Linked DNA regions of Caenorhabditis elegans. The protein of the gene in region 1 purifies or fractionates together with the protein of each later gene. This does not show direct contact. Each region holds a gene or a part of one and is shown on either strand. Other genes may lie near its edges.

Region 1 (7,907 bases):
AAGTTCAATCGCCCTGCATGCTTATAGGATTTGATCTGCCAATCCCAACGAGAAACATTGAAAACAGAAACAATGAAGAGATCATGCAAATAAAAGTAGCCGTCACGTCCTGGAAACCAAATGATTTATAAGTGTGTAGTTCTCTGTTCTCCGCGTATTTTTCATCGTTTCATCTCACTCACTCTTTCTCTCTGCCTAAGCGAACGATTGGCATGAGAAAAGGAAACGAGACAAACTGATTGAAAAAAACATAGAGTGAGGGAAAGAGTGTGGATCTAGATGCCCCGCCAATATATTTTCAAATCTTTTTTTTTTCGATGACGATGATGATGATGGCATTCTTGATGGGGCGTGGAAGGATCAGGAAAGTGGTGAAGGTGGACAGAAAGGGCAACAGGTTATTGCGGGAGACAGAAAAGAGAAGCCGGATCCCGCCGTCTTTCTTTATTCTTTTCATAGTCCATGTGGTTTGATCGTAGAGAAAAAGTATTGAAGGTGGAGAGGGAGATATGGGGTGATATCTATGAAGAATGAGGATTACGTAGATTGCCAATAGAGAAAGTGCATTGCGTCCTCAAATTGTGATAACGTTGATACAAACAACTATGATTCAATATCTTTCCTTAGTGAATCTCGAAAAACGTGGTCTAGAAAATGGCAAAGTCCGGGCCAAACTTTTGCAAGACTTGGGCAAGGCTTTGTTTTGGTCGCACCCAGGTTTAAGCCAAGTTTGGAAGCTTCTCGGATTAAACCTAGTAACAAATTATAGGTTTTCTGTGAATGAAGATTCGAGTTTATGTATAATTTTATAAAATTTTTACAGAGTTCAAACACTGTTATTCTGTTCTTAAAACTCTCGCAAAATGCCCTGCAATTTTAAAAAACTTCTGAACTTTTCTAGAAGCTTCTGACGCATTTCAAGAGTTTTCAGATTTATCTAAAAGTTTTGGAATCTTCGAAATATTTTTTGAAACGCTTTGGTAATTTTGAAACATTCTGCAAATGTGTAGAATTTTCAGAAACATTTTAAACATTTTCTGATTTTTTCTTAACTTCTTAAATATACTGAAAGTTCCAATAAGTATATCAAAGCTCTTGAAAGTTTCCAGAATTTTCGATGAAAAGAAAGCTTGAAATTAATTTTTAAATTCTGTCATGTCACACCTTCTAAGTGTTCTGTTTTGCGATGTCTTCCAACTTCTTTCAAAAACAATTTCATCTTAAAATAAACTGTATTTATTAAGATTCACAGGGTGTTTTATGTACATTCTTGTCTCAATTATAGCTATAAGTGTCATCAACTCAATTACAAATTGGAATTCACATCAAATTTCACTGTATGATACAGGCATGCTGCGTAGGAATCTACAGGGGCACACAATTTCTCGATGGATCTTGTGAGCGTCTCTTTATAATTTGAATTGGACATTTTACTGGAGTCACCATAAACTTGGCACATCTTTTGACATTGTTCAGCTCTTCCAGACTTCATTGGGTTACGATCCATTACATGGATTACTGTAGTCATGATTCCCTGAAATTAACCAAAATAATCAGCTAAAATGGGAAACAAAACACAAGATTTTGAGCAACAATTTCACGTTCAATGCTATTTCACAGGACGAACATCCATTTTAACCTGTTTGAGGTACTGCCAGTACTCCTCGATTTTATCCTTCGTGTCAGATTCTTCTTTGTTAATATCGTCTTGAGTCGGAGTGCACATCTAAAAAATAAACAAGCTGTTATATTCTAATTTATATCATTATTTATACCTTAAAAGTATATCTATGAATATTATCAGTTGTGGAACACTCCTCCTTCCCCTCGTTGCTCAAAAATTTTTTAAGCTTGTTCAATTTGCTCTCATTTTCTTTTACGTTTTCCTTAACGTTTTCGCACAGAGAGCAGAATTTACTGAAAAGCCAATTCCTATTGTTAGTTTATATAAATTGCAAACCAACCATGTAGTTTTACCACCGAGCATCTCTCTCAATTGGGAGTTATAACTCTCTGGACACCATTGAGATGGACTAGTTACGTTTGCACAAATGCTCTCAACTCCACGAAGATTTTGAATCGCGTCTTCTGATTTGCAGGGAACGTTTTGGCCAAGTTGCATAAATGCTTCAATGTATCTAGAAGAAAGAATGTACCATTTTTTTTTTCTATTAGACTGTTATCGGCATTGCTTTACTTTGACGGTTTAGTTTATCGAAAAAAAATGTTTTCACTAATAAAGTAAAGAAAACTATGTTATAAGTGTGTTCAGTTCGCACTTTTCATGAAACCAAAAAACCCGGGAAACCCCCGTCGAAGAGGTGTAAAGAGGTGCAAGTTTAATAGGGAAAAATACGGAATCTATTACGATTTTAAGAGATTTGCAGGATTCAATTTTACGAATGAACTCCAGTCTTAAGTTTCAGCTCTAACTTACGGATTCTCGATAGGTCTCAGCATCTTAAAGCTGACTTTAACTCTATAGCATCCAGGGAAATCAATTTGGCGAGTTTCTCCATTAATATCAGTAATTGTTACTTCATCTTTTTCTTCATCTTCTTCCTCTGGATTATCATTCTTCAACATTTTCATTGTGATCTTCAACGAGCTCTCGTCAATAACATCGGAATCCACTAAACTTGGTTGTAAATTAATTGTAAAACCATTTAATTTTTATTTAAAAGAACAAACCATTCGGACAACTTTGTGTGACATTTTCTCTAACTTGAATGTGAACTTTTCGGCATGTTGCCAGTGCTAAAACAGTTAGGAGTAGTATGAGGAATCTGAATAACATCTTTGAATATTCTGAATTGTCTAACAATTTTCTTTTATAGCATTTTCAGTTGATCGTGATCATCTTGACCTAGTTATTCGAACAACTAGAATATAGCAAATCCGTTGTTGCCGGACTATTATTAGAAGAAGAGGAAGCGAACACTTTCCGAAAAAAGAGTGGAATTGTTTGCATTATGAACAACGTTTTTAAAACATTTAACCGGAATTTTTTAGATCCAAAGTTTTTTATTCAGATTAAACAATTTAATTGATCAATTCTGAACTATTATTTCAAGTTTGAAGCTTAGCGTTTTCTGGTTCATCAATTTGATTTTGCAGTTTAAGAAGCAGAGGAAGGGAATTCCCGAAAAAAATGCATTGTTTGTTTTATGAACAACGTTTCTATATAAGTCGCATTGATTGAAAGATTGCAATGTTCAAATTTCGGTTTTTTTTCTTGGACTGAAATCTACCGTACCACTTCCAAAATTTCGTGTTTCTCGAATTATATTTCAGACGCAAATAATTAATATTTCTCGTAGCACAGGTTATTCTTGGCTTTTCGACATAATTTTCTTTCAAATTTTCATTGACATGCTCTCAAATTTCAAAGATTTTCTTCTCTAGAAATGCTCTCACATCTAGTACATATTCTCTCTTCCAGCGAATTTTTCACAAATTTTAAGTGTAAATAATGTAATTGAATTCTGAACATGGTTCAAATGCTTTTTATTTTATAGACTATTTATTACTCATTTTTTATAACTGCTTTAGTGTGCTTTCTTTTTCGCTGAAGAATAAAAAACATTTCAAACTAAATATCTCAAGTAATCTCTATCCACTTTCCGTGTGGTGTCTCTCGAAAACGCAAGCGCGCTCTACGGCTAAAATCGATGCGCTCATTTCTCTGTTTGTGATTCATTTTTGTTCACTCTTTTATTCAATGAATCACCACTTTTATTTTGTCAATCTTTATTTCTTTTTAGTTATTTGATAGAAATATATTTTTAAAATGTTTATAAGCATAACTCTTTCTCGTTCAGAATGTCGGAGATCAGTGACGCCGAAAAGGTCCGCATTGCTTCGGATTTCATTAAACACGCGCCACCCGGCGAGTTCAACGAGGTAATTTTTTGTCGATTTTTAGGAGAATTGCTCGTTCAAGCTTGATATTATAGTCATCAAAAAATTTATATTTCGCAATTCACTTCAATTGTCAATTTACCTTTCCATTCAGGTATTCAATTCGGTTCGGATGCTTTTGGAAAATGATGATCTTCTGAAGAACAAATGTGTTAATGCTATCGCTCAATATAACGTTGGACAATTTGTGCCAGTAAAGTTGGATGGTGTTGCCAAGCAGGTATACTATTTTCATTTTTTAAACTTTCTTCAAATATTTAATTATTTTCTTCAGACTCTGATCACTCCATACAATGATTTGGGTAATGGACGTTTCTACGATGAAGTTTCAAAGAAAAGTTTCAAATACGATCACGTCCGTAAAGAGGCCGCAGATCTTCAACCACATCCAGCCGAGTCTGGAATAACCGAACAATGGCGTCAAGCTCTTCAAACTCAACTCGATATATATATTGATGATCATTACGCGAAAAGTGGAACGGGAGTGGTTTTTGCTCGAAACGGAGTTTTCACGATTTGCATCGAATCTCATCAATTCCAGCCAAAAAATTTCTGTAACGGAAGATGGCGTTCGGAGTGGAATGTGCCGGTTGGCGATGGTAAATCAGGATCTCAGGAGATGAAAGGAAAAATTTTGTCGCAAGTTCATTATTACGAAGACGGAAACGTGCAGTTGTTCTCTGAGAAAGAGCCGGTTCTTAAAGTCAATGTTTCGGTAAATTTTTTTTTCCATAAATTGATCCAATTTAGAAGGATAGAAAAAAAAGTTTTTCATAAAATTGTGAAGAACAAAATAAAATCACAGGAATCATTTAAATTATATTTTTCATAGAGCTATTTAATCGAATTAAAAATTGGCATATAAAGCCCTATTTTCAGGCTGACTTCGACAAAACCGCCAAAGAAATAATTCATGCCATTTCCGAGGAAGAGACTATATATCAGAATGCTGTACAAGAGAATTACGCTAATATGTCTGATACCACATTCAAAGCACTTCGTCGCCAATTGCCAGTTACTCGCGCTAAGATGGACTGGAATAAGGTATCGTAATTTCACAATATTTCGGAATGCCTTCGGAAAAGTGCACAGATTTATTCAGATGGGTCTCGGTGTTTCTTATTTTTCTGTTAACAAATGCTTCGAATCAGTTTTATATCCCTTGTCATGCAGACACAATAAAAAATAATTGTGATTTGAAAACTAATTTAAAAAGAATTTTAACAGAAACAAGAGATGAAGCCGACAAAATTCTCTAAATGCGAAGTAATTTCTTTGAAAAAGATTAAGCAAGGGCTACCATAATAAATCTGTGCGCCTCTACAAAGGCATGTCAAAATTTTCAGAATTGATAAAATAAAAAGAATAAATTAATTTTAATTCAGGCTCAAACCTACCGAATTGGTCAGGAAATGAAGTAATCACAAAATCGTTATCACATCGCTTTGCTTCAAGTTCGTCTGCTGGTCTTCATCATCTTCCTAATCCTCTCCAAAAACCAAAAAATCCTCCAATTTCGACCTTTATTTCTCCCACTTTCCTTTATCCTTTGGCCGGACACTAGACGTGCTTTACAACATAATACCCTTCGTTTGCTCCGCTGCTTCTTTTTTCATGATTTGATAATTTGTATCATCTATGTATCTAATTTTATTGTATGGTATGATTCATTTTTCAATTATATATTATTTGTGTGTGTGTGATTAAGAATTTTCGAGATATTTTCTGATTTTAGAAAGGTCGCGCACCTTTTGATATATATTTAAACGAATTAGCTAAATAGTTAATATGTGTTCGTTTAATTGAAGAAAATTCAGATGCAAAACCTCACTGAGGTTCTCAATGCGACTTTATTGAGCAACTTGTCAGATTTGGTATCATCGACAAGTACGGTATCAACCAGCACGACTACAACTACCACGACGGAAATTCCATTGACTAGTAAGCTTTCAGAAACATATTTCTAAGATTACACATTTTTTCAGCATCTTTTCCTCCAAGTGATCATACAACTGCAACGTCGATCGCCTTCATTTCCTTGGTAGTTTTTGGAGTAGCATGTGCTCTCATTGCGAAAATTGTGATAAGCCATAAGAAAAAGTGAGTATCCTTTCGATTTATAAAACATTTATTCTCAATTTTAGGAGAGCTGAATTAATCGGATCAGCACGATGGAGAATTTCTGCTTCAAGACAAAGCGCATCTTCGGCTTCTAGTGGCGGAATGGGCCAAAATTCTTCAGCCACTTATCTTCCCATGGGCCGTGGAGGGTATATAAGCAATTATTATTTTAATTATTTCACATTTTGAAACTTTAAGAAACAATCGCTCACTGAACAATCAAAGACAACCGCTGAACTCACTGGATCACCCGACAGCCGATCGTCTCGATTGGGAACGACAGTTCTTCGATGATTCCGAAGCTACAGTACGTTCTTTTAGATTTATAGTCTTCAATTGATATTATTGCGAAAATTATTAATTAAACGGAAACTTAAAAACTCAGATTAACGTCGAAATATAATTCTGAATGGATGTGTAAGTTCTAAAATGTCGTCATGTGATTTTTGTGGTTATTAATCCTTTCCGCAGTCTCTACAAATTAAAAAATTTCAGACTCCTTCAAGGCTCATCTTCCGCTGAATAAATCGTATTGTCGACTACATCAAACTCATCGCGCCATGTTAATTTATTATTTCCCATTTTGGTTCAAATTGAAATTCCTGGTTGTCATAATAATTCTCCATTCAGTCGCTTTAACTTCTTCTGTCGCTTTCCCGAATTCCCTCCCATCTTCGTGTAGTTTTCAGTTTTATCTCCCATAATGGGTCTAATGAAAAATACGTTCATATTAAAATAGCATTTTTCTGTTCTTTTTTCTCGATTTGGCATATGACCAAAACTGAAAAGTTATCCAAATCATCTGAATCGGACCAATAAACAGGGCGGTTAAGGTATAATGAATCTCGAAAATCTTCCACAAGAAATGCTGCATGAGGTAGTTAAGCATCTGTCGTTCATGGAACGGTAAGATTTTATTATAAAGACGCAGAAAAATTCAGCTTTTGAAATCGGCGTGGAAAGGTCGAGCTGAAAACGCAAGTTAAAAAATGCATGAATATCGGCGAAACTAATTGAAAAAGTTTTAATTCCCCGTTTTGCCGCCAAATACCTAACGAGACCCATGGTTCGTGGGCGTTGCATTTTGGAGCGCGTTTCCGCGTCGATTTCGAAAAGGATATTTTTCTGCGTCAAAATAATAATTGACTGTTCCAACAAAACCAAAATAGTTCAGACTACCACTGCAGAAATGCTCGAGAAAGATGAAATCTGCGACTGAATCAGCTGTACTTGTATTCAATGAAGAAATTACTTTAACATACACACCACATGAAGATTCTTCACTAATTGAAACTTATTTAATAGAATTCAATGGAATTGTTATTCGAATATATGAATCATCTGTTCCTGGTGAAGTCACTGTTAATTTCGAAAAATTGATGTCAAGAACAAAAATTGAAACAACTGAAAGATCTAACTGCCAAGACGTGGCACGGAAGATTTTCTGCGAAACTTTTCTGAAGGACAATGTCATCTGCAACTCTTTCAAGACGAATCACATGTTCAATTCCAACTTTTTGCAAGCTTCCGAGTGTTTGAATGTCGAGAATTTTAAACATTTTCGGTCGGCTATCGGCGTCGAAATTATTGAATTCGAAAGTAGTCTACCGATGTGGCTGGTCCATTTGAATCCAAAACATCTCCGGAGTATTACAGTTTACACAGATGAAGTAAAAAGCTCGATCGCTGATTCATTGAAAAAGGTAAATATGTCTGGCTTGGCTCACTCACAAGAGCCATGGCTCACTCACAAGAGTTAAAACAACGTGGCACTTCAATTTTCTATGTGGGTCTCACCACGATCTCTAAAATATTAAAAAAGTTAACTAGAACTAAGTCAACAAATAAAAAGCCACCATTTTTCC
Region 2 (8,069 bases), 670 kb from region 1:
AGCCTAAAAGAGGTTTTAGTGGAGAAACGAGACAAAAAGAGTGAAGAGACGATTTGATTAATGAGCGGATTTGTGATGGACACTACCCAAAAATGGGTACAGCTGACACGTCACTTTCGAGACAAAATTGGGTTCAAAACGTACTGATGCGCGACATTTTATATTTGGGATCAAATTTGGAGAATACTTGGAATTGAATGTAACGGATAAAGGAAAGAATTAGATTAATGCAAACTCACATAATTACATAAACAAGGAAATTGACTTTTGAGTATGAAAATTACGAACGAATATTTAGAAATAAGAACTTTCAATTCTTAGAAGTTGTAACCAGATTTGTCAGATTGATTCTGTTAAACTTATCAAAAAGTATGGTACTTCAACATATCAAAGTATAAAAATCAAAGTTTTCTATTCGCAGTTCTAAAACTCTGGCTGGCTGGCATATGTGCTCAGTCTTCCAACAATCCTCAGTTCTCAATTTGACAAAAATTTCAAAATCTTCTATTTTTAACTGACAGAATATATATTCATCTCAATCATATCCAACCGAACTTACGTCATTTGTTACGTCACGCTCAGAAAATCCCAAAAAAAGAATGAAAGTTGCATTGAGAGACTCTCGAATTTGATTTTCCTAAACAAGTTTTAGGTTTCTTTTTCTGACTAACAATGTTCAAAAAATGTTCAATGAAACAATTTAAATTTAAAAAAAAACGATCATGAATATTTTTATGCCACAGGATAACTGTAACCTAGAATCAGCACCAGACGAGACCTTCTGAGAAAAAAGAACATACTTCCTAACTTTTGTTGCCTATATCTCGGTTGTCTTTGGGTTTATGAAAACAATTGACAACAAAAAGAATAATCTTCTATTATTTTTTCTATAGTTTTGGGGAAAAACTTTAATTGCTATCTTCAACATGAACCTAGGAGTAATTGGGTGCAGAACTAACAAAGAACATAAAAAAAGGAAATTTAAATATTAAAACTGTAGCTTTTATACAAAATTCAAAGTATACATTTCAACAAAAAAAGGTGTCTCGATTGCAATGTTTAAAATGACTCCACCTACACTGTCTCTCTCTTCCGGACATATCTATAATACTGATAACCGTGTAACATTGACCGATCGATTCGTCATTTCTAGAAGAAATCAAAAAACGTTATGATTATCAAGCACATGTTTTTATTCAATTCAGGTGGCTACGACAACATCCAACAGTACTCTCACTTCCATGGAAGAATGCAATTAAACGATCAGAGAAATCAAATGCTATTGATGTTTTATGCAGTGGAGTTCTTGGTTCAGAGGTTTGTAATTTTAAGTTCAATAGACCTTTGTCGTACTTTTCTCTTGTGACAAATTTGTAATCTTTAATCGTTTGGCTATTTTTAAAGATTTCAAGTCTTCAAAATAAACAAAAAATTTACTCATTTTTGCAGATTGCCATCGACCAATGGCAGCAATATTTCAATGAGCCAGTGGAGCCACTTGCTGAGGTACGTGTGTGCCCGTTGGGCATTTTAAGCCTCGTGTATGGACCCAAAAGTGTATAATCTGACAGATGATGACGTAGGGAAATGAGACGAAAAGGATTAGTTTTTTTGGTAGAAAATAAGATTTTTTTTGAGTTTCTTTTTTTTTCGGTTTGAAGATTTGTGGGGAACTTTGATGAATAATTTTCAGGATGATCGCAAACAATGGCTGAGCCAGCAAACAGGAGTTGTGATGAGTTCAGATGCATTCCTTCCATTCCGTGATAATGTTGATTGTGCTAAACAGGTAAAAACGTTTTTCATTGTTGGTCAATGCTCGAAGTATTCTAATATGTTGAAATACTACAGCGTTAAAGCGAAAAATTTTTTTTAATTGATATTAGAGTGGAAACGCGCTCCATGGCTATTTTAAAGTGATCCGCCCCCAATACATGGGTCTCGTTAGATGATTTAAGCCGTAACTTCAAGCGTTTTCAACTAGTTTTGCCGATTTCGCCAATTTCCTAGCATTTTTAGAGTTTTTTTTTCTATTTTCCGCTGTTTTTAATGATTTTTTCGTCCAAGTCGAAAATGCTTGAAAATTGGCGAAATCGGTGAAAATAATTTGAAGCGTTTGAAATGACGGATTTGTAGCCGAATACCTCACGAGACCAATTTTTTATTTTGTATTTCGTGATTTTTACATTTGGGCATAGTAATTGGTTCGAAAGCGGCTAAATAAATAAATAAATAATTTTAAAATTTTCTAGTAGTATTCAGTTTGTGATTTCTGAACCACAGTGTATACAGTTCCTAATTAGATTAGAAGTAACAAACTAAATTAGACACACTGAATGTTCAAGTGAGCTTTGTTAAATTGAATAATACAAGTGTGACGCCAAGAAAAAAAAAATTCAAAAACTTTCCTGTTTTCAAGAGTTGTAGGGATACTGATTGTGTATAATTTTTGCAGTTCGGAGTGTCTTATGTTGCTCATCCAGGAGGCTCAGTTCGTGATGATGACATCAAAGAAGCTTGTGATGAACATGGAATAACTCTTATTCATACTGGACTTCGTCTCTTCCACCATTAGATTTTTTAAGCAAACGGCAGCAATAAAGTTTACACATTTTTCCTAACTTTTATCCAACTTCCCCTTAATGTACAGTTTTGGCCCTTTTTTTCTAAGTTTTTCATACATTTATGCGAATAAATAATAAAATTATAAAGCACCAGTTACATTTAAAAAAACAAATTTCTAACGGGATTTTACAATGATATCAGTCCAATCAGCAGCTAATTTTCCATTTTTCCACTCTTCCAAGGTTAAACTTTTGCGTTCAATTGTCTCTCGAAGTGATCCCAATAGACTTGCACCGAGCCAGGAAACGAAAAGTGGCGTGTTTTTGATTTCCGAAAATTGATAGAATTTTACAATTACGGCAATTTTGGAATTGTTTTTCTCGTCGATAACTTGAATTTCTTGTTCCAAACGTTTCATGAGACCAGGAATTGTAGAGACTCCACCAGTTAAAAGTATATTTGGGAATAGCTTTTTCCGGAGATCAATCGGGCATTTTGATACCAGCTTGTGAAGAAGTTTCGGAAGGGAAAGATCGAATGATGTAGGATTGAGATTCTCATTGAAGAAGATTTCAGTACTTGTTTCGCTGAAATAATAAGTACTAAAGGTAATACGCGGCTTCTCTTACAATCGAAGTTCAGAATTTAATTTTTTCTGTTTTTTTTTTTGAATAATATAGGGAGCATAATAAAAATTGTTTGGATTACTGTAGGTGGCAGATTTCATGATATCATAGAAGGAGTTTTTAAAAAAATTTACTTTTTAACTACGAGAAATAAGTAATTTTAGAAACTTCTCTGTTGCTAATATGACGAAATATAATAGGAAAACTTTTCAAAAAATGTTGGATTTTGTTTATTCAGTCAAAAAGCGAAGCAACGCAAAAAGCGAAGCAAGCGAAGCGTAGCTTTTTTGGATGTCGTCGATCAAAAGTAATTTTTCCAATTTTTGTTCTAAAATATTTATATTAAAACAGTCAGGAGGGAGGCTCTAAATTGCGACATTGCTTTAGTTTTCACGAAAAAATGGTACGAACATAATTTATGTCGCTTTTTGTCTGTGAATAAACATTTTTTAAACAAAAAATTGCAGTTTTCCATGATATTTGATAACGTTTGCCAACACATTCAATTTTTAAACTTCTGGTAAGAAAAAACTTTTAAAACTTACAATACAACTGGAGGAACTACAAATATTTTTCCATTATTCGGAAATAGTCTTTCTTTGCAAAGTGTCTCAATATCCGGTTTTTCTCCTTCTTCTGACGCTTCCCATTTTGTCCAATTTTCGGCCCGTTCCTTATCCAGACAAATGAGTGATAAACTAAGCGTTTCGATAAGTTTACACGCCTAAAACATATCTTCAGTTATTGAGTTTTTTCAAGTTTTAGATATTTACATCAATATCTTGCCAATCGTTTTCTGTAATTGCTCGTCTCTCTCCATTTAATTCTGCAATTTGACCATATTTCTCCATTTGCTCCCGAACTCTTCGTTCAAGTTGTCGGCCACAAATCGAGCGAGCTGATTCGAACTCATTCAGCATTGTCACACCTTCGATAATCTGAAAAAAATACAATTTGCAATAAATCATAAATAGAAATTTGAATTTCTAAAAAAAATTTAACTGTTTAAAATTGTAGATGGTAAAAAATTACTCTTTTGTTGATTTTTTTCTAGAAATATTTTCTTATGCTCTTCAAAAATTAAAAATAAGAACTAACTGGAACTGCGATACATTCTGAATGTCCAATATCGACAACGAGAGCATTTTGAGTATTGAATGGAAATGTGGCACAAACATGAGATGGCATGAACATTAGAGATTTGCAACGAATCTTTTCGACAACAATTTTGGTGATGGTATTGCGGAGGGATTCTGACATGAAAATGCTTTCCACAAATATCACTGGACGGTCAGTGGGAGCCAAAACTCTAAAATCCAAGCTTTAAGTTAATCGAGGCCAGAGAGGCTCACTTTAAAAATACAATCCTCAAGAATTTATAGAGAATTTCTTCGTAGTACTCGGTGGACTTTGTAGCAGTCTTCCGATTGTTTAGAGCTAATAATTCATCAGAAGTTATCAATTTTCCTTCATCATCGACGTATTCTGTTCGGATAATATGTCGAGGTGTTATTTCTCCGGCACATCCAATTCTAAACATAGTAAAATTATGAAATTTAAGAACAGTGGAACTCAAACTTCGTTAACTTGCTTCCAATCTCAACCACAACTGCACTTTTTCCATTATCGATTGAACTGATAGCTTGAGATAAAGTTGTCGATGAAAGCGAGATTGATTGATTTGAAACTCCCGACGAACTCCGTCGAGCCGCCTTCAGCGACTCCAACGTTGATTGAGCAGTTGATGCCAGTTTGAACACTACAATATTGATTTTAAGATGATTTAATCTTAAAAAGAAAGGAGTAATTACGAATGTGGCACAATAAATAATGATTGATTCGTCTAATTAAAGTAAAATCTTGATAAAACATTAAAACAAAAAAGTCGTTCTCAATTGAGCGCTTACCGTATACGTGTGCAAACACCATGTATCTTCTATTGCGTACCGCGCGCAGTATATTACGCGCAAAGTTTTTGCGACTCTGAGTGACGTCACCAGACATTTTCTTATCGCTTTCTCGTTTACCGCCAGTTTAAATAATTATTTTATCACTTTTTATAAGTTTTTATCATTTCGCGTAATTACAGTAATCTTTTTATTAAAGGATTTGTTGCTTGATAGTGAACTAAAATAGGTTAACTTTGATTTTTAATGAGAGAGACATCATCGATTGCAGGTTTAGATTAGTTGTATCCATTTCTCTGACTCGAAATCTCTTTTTGCGTACTAATTTTTCAAAATAACCATCGATCTTCATCCAGATTTGAGGAAAATTCCTGTTTATTATTTTCAATATCTGGAAGGCTAAATAGAAAAAATGTTTGACTCGTTTAGGAATCCTAAATTTTGGAGATATAAAATTTGCGTCTTTCAATATTCAACTATTTGGGATATGATTTCCTTTTTTGCAATTATGGATTCTTACTAGAAAAACTACCAGACTCTGGCAAACATTCTCCTCCGCCTTGTTTGCTTTTTTCGTTGCTGGTCATCTTCAACAAACAGTGTACTTAAGCTCAGCATCACCACCGTGTTTTTTCATGGTGAAAACAACCCAGTTAAAATGGCTGAACAAGATGTTTAGATTTTTCTCGATAACATCTGATTGTGTAGGTCACCTTTACAAAGTTCATTTGAACTTTTTGCTATATCGTTATTCGAACGGATCTTCTCTCTTAACATAAAAGTTCCTTGCAATAGATATCGTTCAAAACGAACCAAGTGTCATCACTTGGAGCGGAGCCAGTAGAGCCCTGCTCTCGACATGTGAGAGCCCGGTCGCAAGGCATAGGGAATGACAACATTTCGTCTGCGTCTCCACCTCTTCAAGCAATCACTGTGAAATAGAAGCACACGAAGTTACACACTTGAATCCCTTTCTCTATATCCCTCGGTCTCTAGTTCTTCAGTTTATCCACGTTCAACGTCTGCTTTTTCTTCTTCTGCATCGACTTCGTGTTTTTTTCTCCAGAAATTTCGAAAACGTTTCAAAAATAATTTTTCCAGACTTCTGCTTCACGGCGTTTGCCGTGTTTCTTTCACGATGCCAAATTTACTCGATGACAGTTTTGATCCAACTTTTCAATCAACATCAAAAGTGAGTTTTAATTCCACAAGGAACATAAAATTGTAAGCAAAGTTTGTATACTCTAATTTTTAATATTCACAGTCTCAAATTATTCTAAGATTGCAAATTAACGCTCATTTTCCGAGTGATTGAGCCACACCCAAAGTTTTGAAAATATATAATTTATCAGTAATTAACCAAAAACTTCTACAATGTTCAGAAATTGGTACTTCCGTCTATTCGAAAGGTTCAGCCCGAATATGACAATCTTCCCGAAGAGCAGGGGGTTAACGATTTCTCAAGTGATGAACTGATGAAATTGCTCTCGTTCATGGAAGGTGAAGTTCAAGCAAGAGAAGATGTCATTGATCATCTGAAACGTGAAAGAACGAAAATTCTACTATCCGAAGCTAAATATGGAAAACTAAATATGAACGATCCATTTGCTGCGTTGCGACGAGATTCGGCAATTACTGGCGAACAGATTGATGAAGAGAAGATTGTTCAAATGTACGAGTCACAAGTGGATCAGTTGGATAAGATGATGGCAGTGCAAAAGCAATCGCAAAGAAATGCGGCTGTGGTAATTAAATTTTTGTGCAGCTCCCTCTATTTACACCAATCAAAAAAGTTTTCAGCTGTTGGTTGCGCTGGAGAAGAAGCAATATAAACTCGTGAAAAAGTTGGAGGCGGATAGAGAAGCTAAAATAAGGTGAGTTATATATTACGAAATAAGAAAATACCTTAATAAACATTATAACTCGACTCATACGCCTAAAATTTAGAACAAATCTTTAGGTACGCGAAACAAGGAGATGATTTGGTCGCTCACTTGGAAAAAGAACGAAATCAACTTCAACAACAAATTGAATTTCATATTGAGGAGAAACGCAAAGCCGAAATCGCAAAGGATAAAATGGAAATGACACTTGGAAATGAGAAAAAACGTCACGAATCAATCGTTTTGTATTTGATACAAGAACGCAAACAAATGCTTTTAAAAATGCACGAATTAAGAGTGAAAGCCGAACAAATTATGCTTCAAAATCAAAATGATCCTACCAAACGTGAGTTAACTGCAAAATAAGTTTTTTTAGTTCAATAAAACTTTCAGCTGGTCCATCATCAGCGTTAAGTGAACGCGAGCTTATTGAGGAGCTGAAAAAAGAAGTCACGTTTTTACGAGCAGAACGGGAATCGCTCACAAAAACTCAGAAAATGGTGAAAACTGAAAATCTGAGCCTTCGAGAAACAGTTCGTGGACAAGAAGCCGATCTTCAGATGCTTCGACGGAATCTGACGTTAACTGGAGCAAAAATGTCAATTGATAAGCCTGGGAATGTAGTGAGTTTTGTTTCAAATTTTCAATTTTCCTGAAACGGTCATAGAAATTTGGTTTATCGATGTCTCTAAATGTCAAAAGAATTGTTTTAAATTAGCTCTTGACAAATGCAAAAAAGTTGTAACTTTTTACTTATTACATGATATTTCCCATCTGCATTTTCTTTTATCAGTTGAACATAATAAGACAACCTTCACATAGTTGATTGCACTCATGATTAGCAAAATTTAGCTCTCAAAACAAGTTATGGAATTTCCGCATTTCATATTTTATGTTATTGCAGCTACCTCAACTTCCACCCGACACAGGATCCCTAATAATGGCGAATCGAGGTGCAAAACCAGCAGTTAATAGACAACAGCCAGCTCCTCCTCCTGTAGCTCGTCTTCCAAATTCAGCAACATTTCCAACTGAAAAGAGTCGACTTCCAAGAGCTCCACCTCCAGCTGTAACAACACCGGTCCCTC

What was found. Proteins that work in one complex are often made in the same cells at the same time.
Region 2: the proteins of cap-1 (region 1) and arp-11 fractionate together in Caenorhabditis elegans (co-fractionation; one large-scale study listed by BioGRID). This does not show direct contact.

What each region holds. Positions count from the first base shown.
Region 1 is NC_003282.8:7,226,138-7,234,044, reverse strand, and holds cap-1 (F-actin-capping protein subunit alpha), read left to right. Parts: upstream 1-3,821; 5' UTR 3,822-3,822; coding exon 3,823-3,903; intron 3,904-4,015; coding exon 4,016-4,141; intron 4,142-4,195; coding exon 4,196-4,636; intron 4,637-4,800; coding exon 4,801-4,965; intron 4,966-5,306; coding exon 5,307-5,342; 3' UTR 5,343-5,623; downstream 5,624-7,907. Other genes in the region: D2024.4 (DUF19 domain-containing protein), read right to left, coding at 1,307-1,534, 1,640-1,726, 1,776-1,917, 1,965-2,138, 2,438-2,633, 2,692-2,797; D2024.5 (Mid2 domain-containing protein), read left to right, coding at 5,739-5,862, 5,907-6,021, 6,066-6,191, 6,241-6,349, 6,538-6,564; R13A1.10 (F-box domain-containing protein), read left to right, coding at 6,881-6,948, 7,217-7,745. UniProt on the Caenorhabditis elegans protein: F-actin-capping proteins bind in a Ca(2+)-independent manner to the fast growing ends of actin filaments (barbed end) thereby blocking the exchange of subunits at these ends.
Region 2 is NC_003282.8:7,897,541-7,905,609, forward strand, and holds arp-11 (Actin-related protein 10), read right to left. Parts: upstream 4,732-8,069; coding exon 4,544-4,731; intron 4,501-4,543; coding exon 4,290-4,500; intron 4,130-4,289; coding exon 3,965-4,129; intron 3,916-3,964; coding exon 3,737-3,915; intron 3,153-3,736; coding exon 2,741-3,152; 3' UTR 2,663-2,740; downstream 1-2,662. Other genes in the region: atic-1 (Bifunctional purine biosynthesis protein ATIC), read left to right, coding at 1,206-1,317, 1,450-1,506, 1,694-1,789, 2,456-2,575; cbpl-1 (Cortactin-binding protein-2 N-terminal domain-containing protein), read left to right, coding at 6,237-6,290, 6,481-6,843, 6,899-6,972, 7,059-7,327, 7,375-7,604, 7,886-8,069.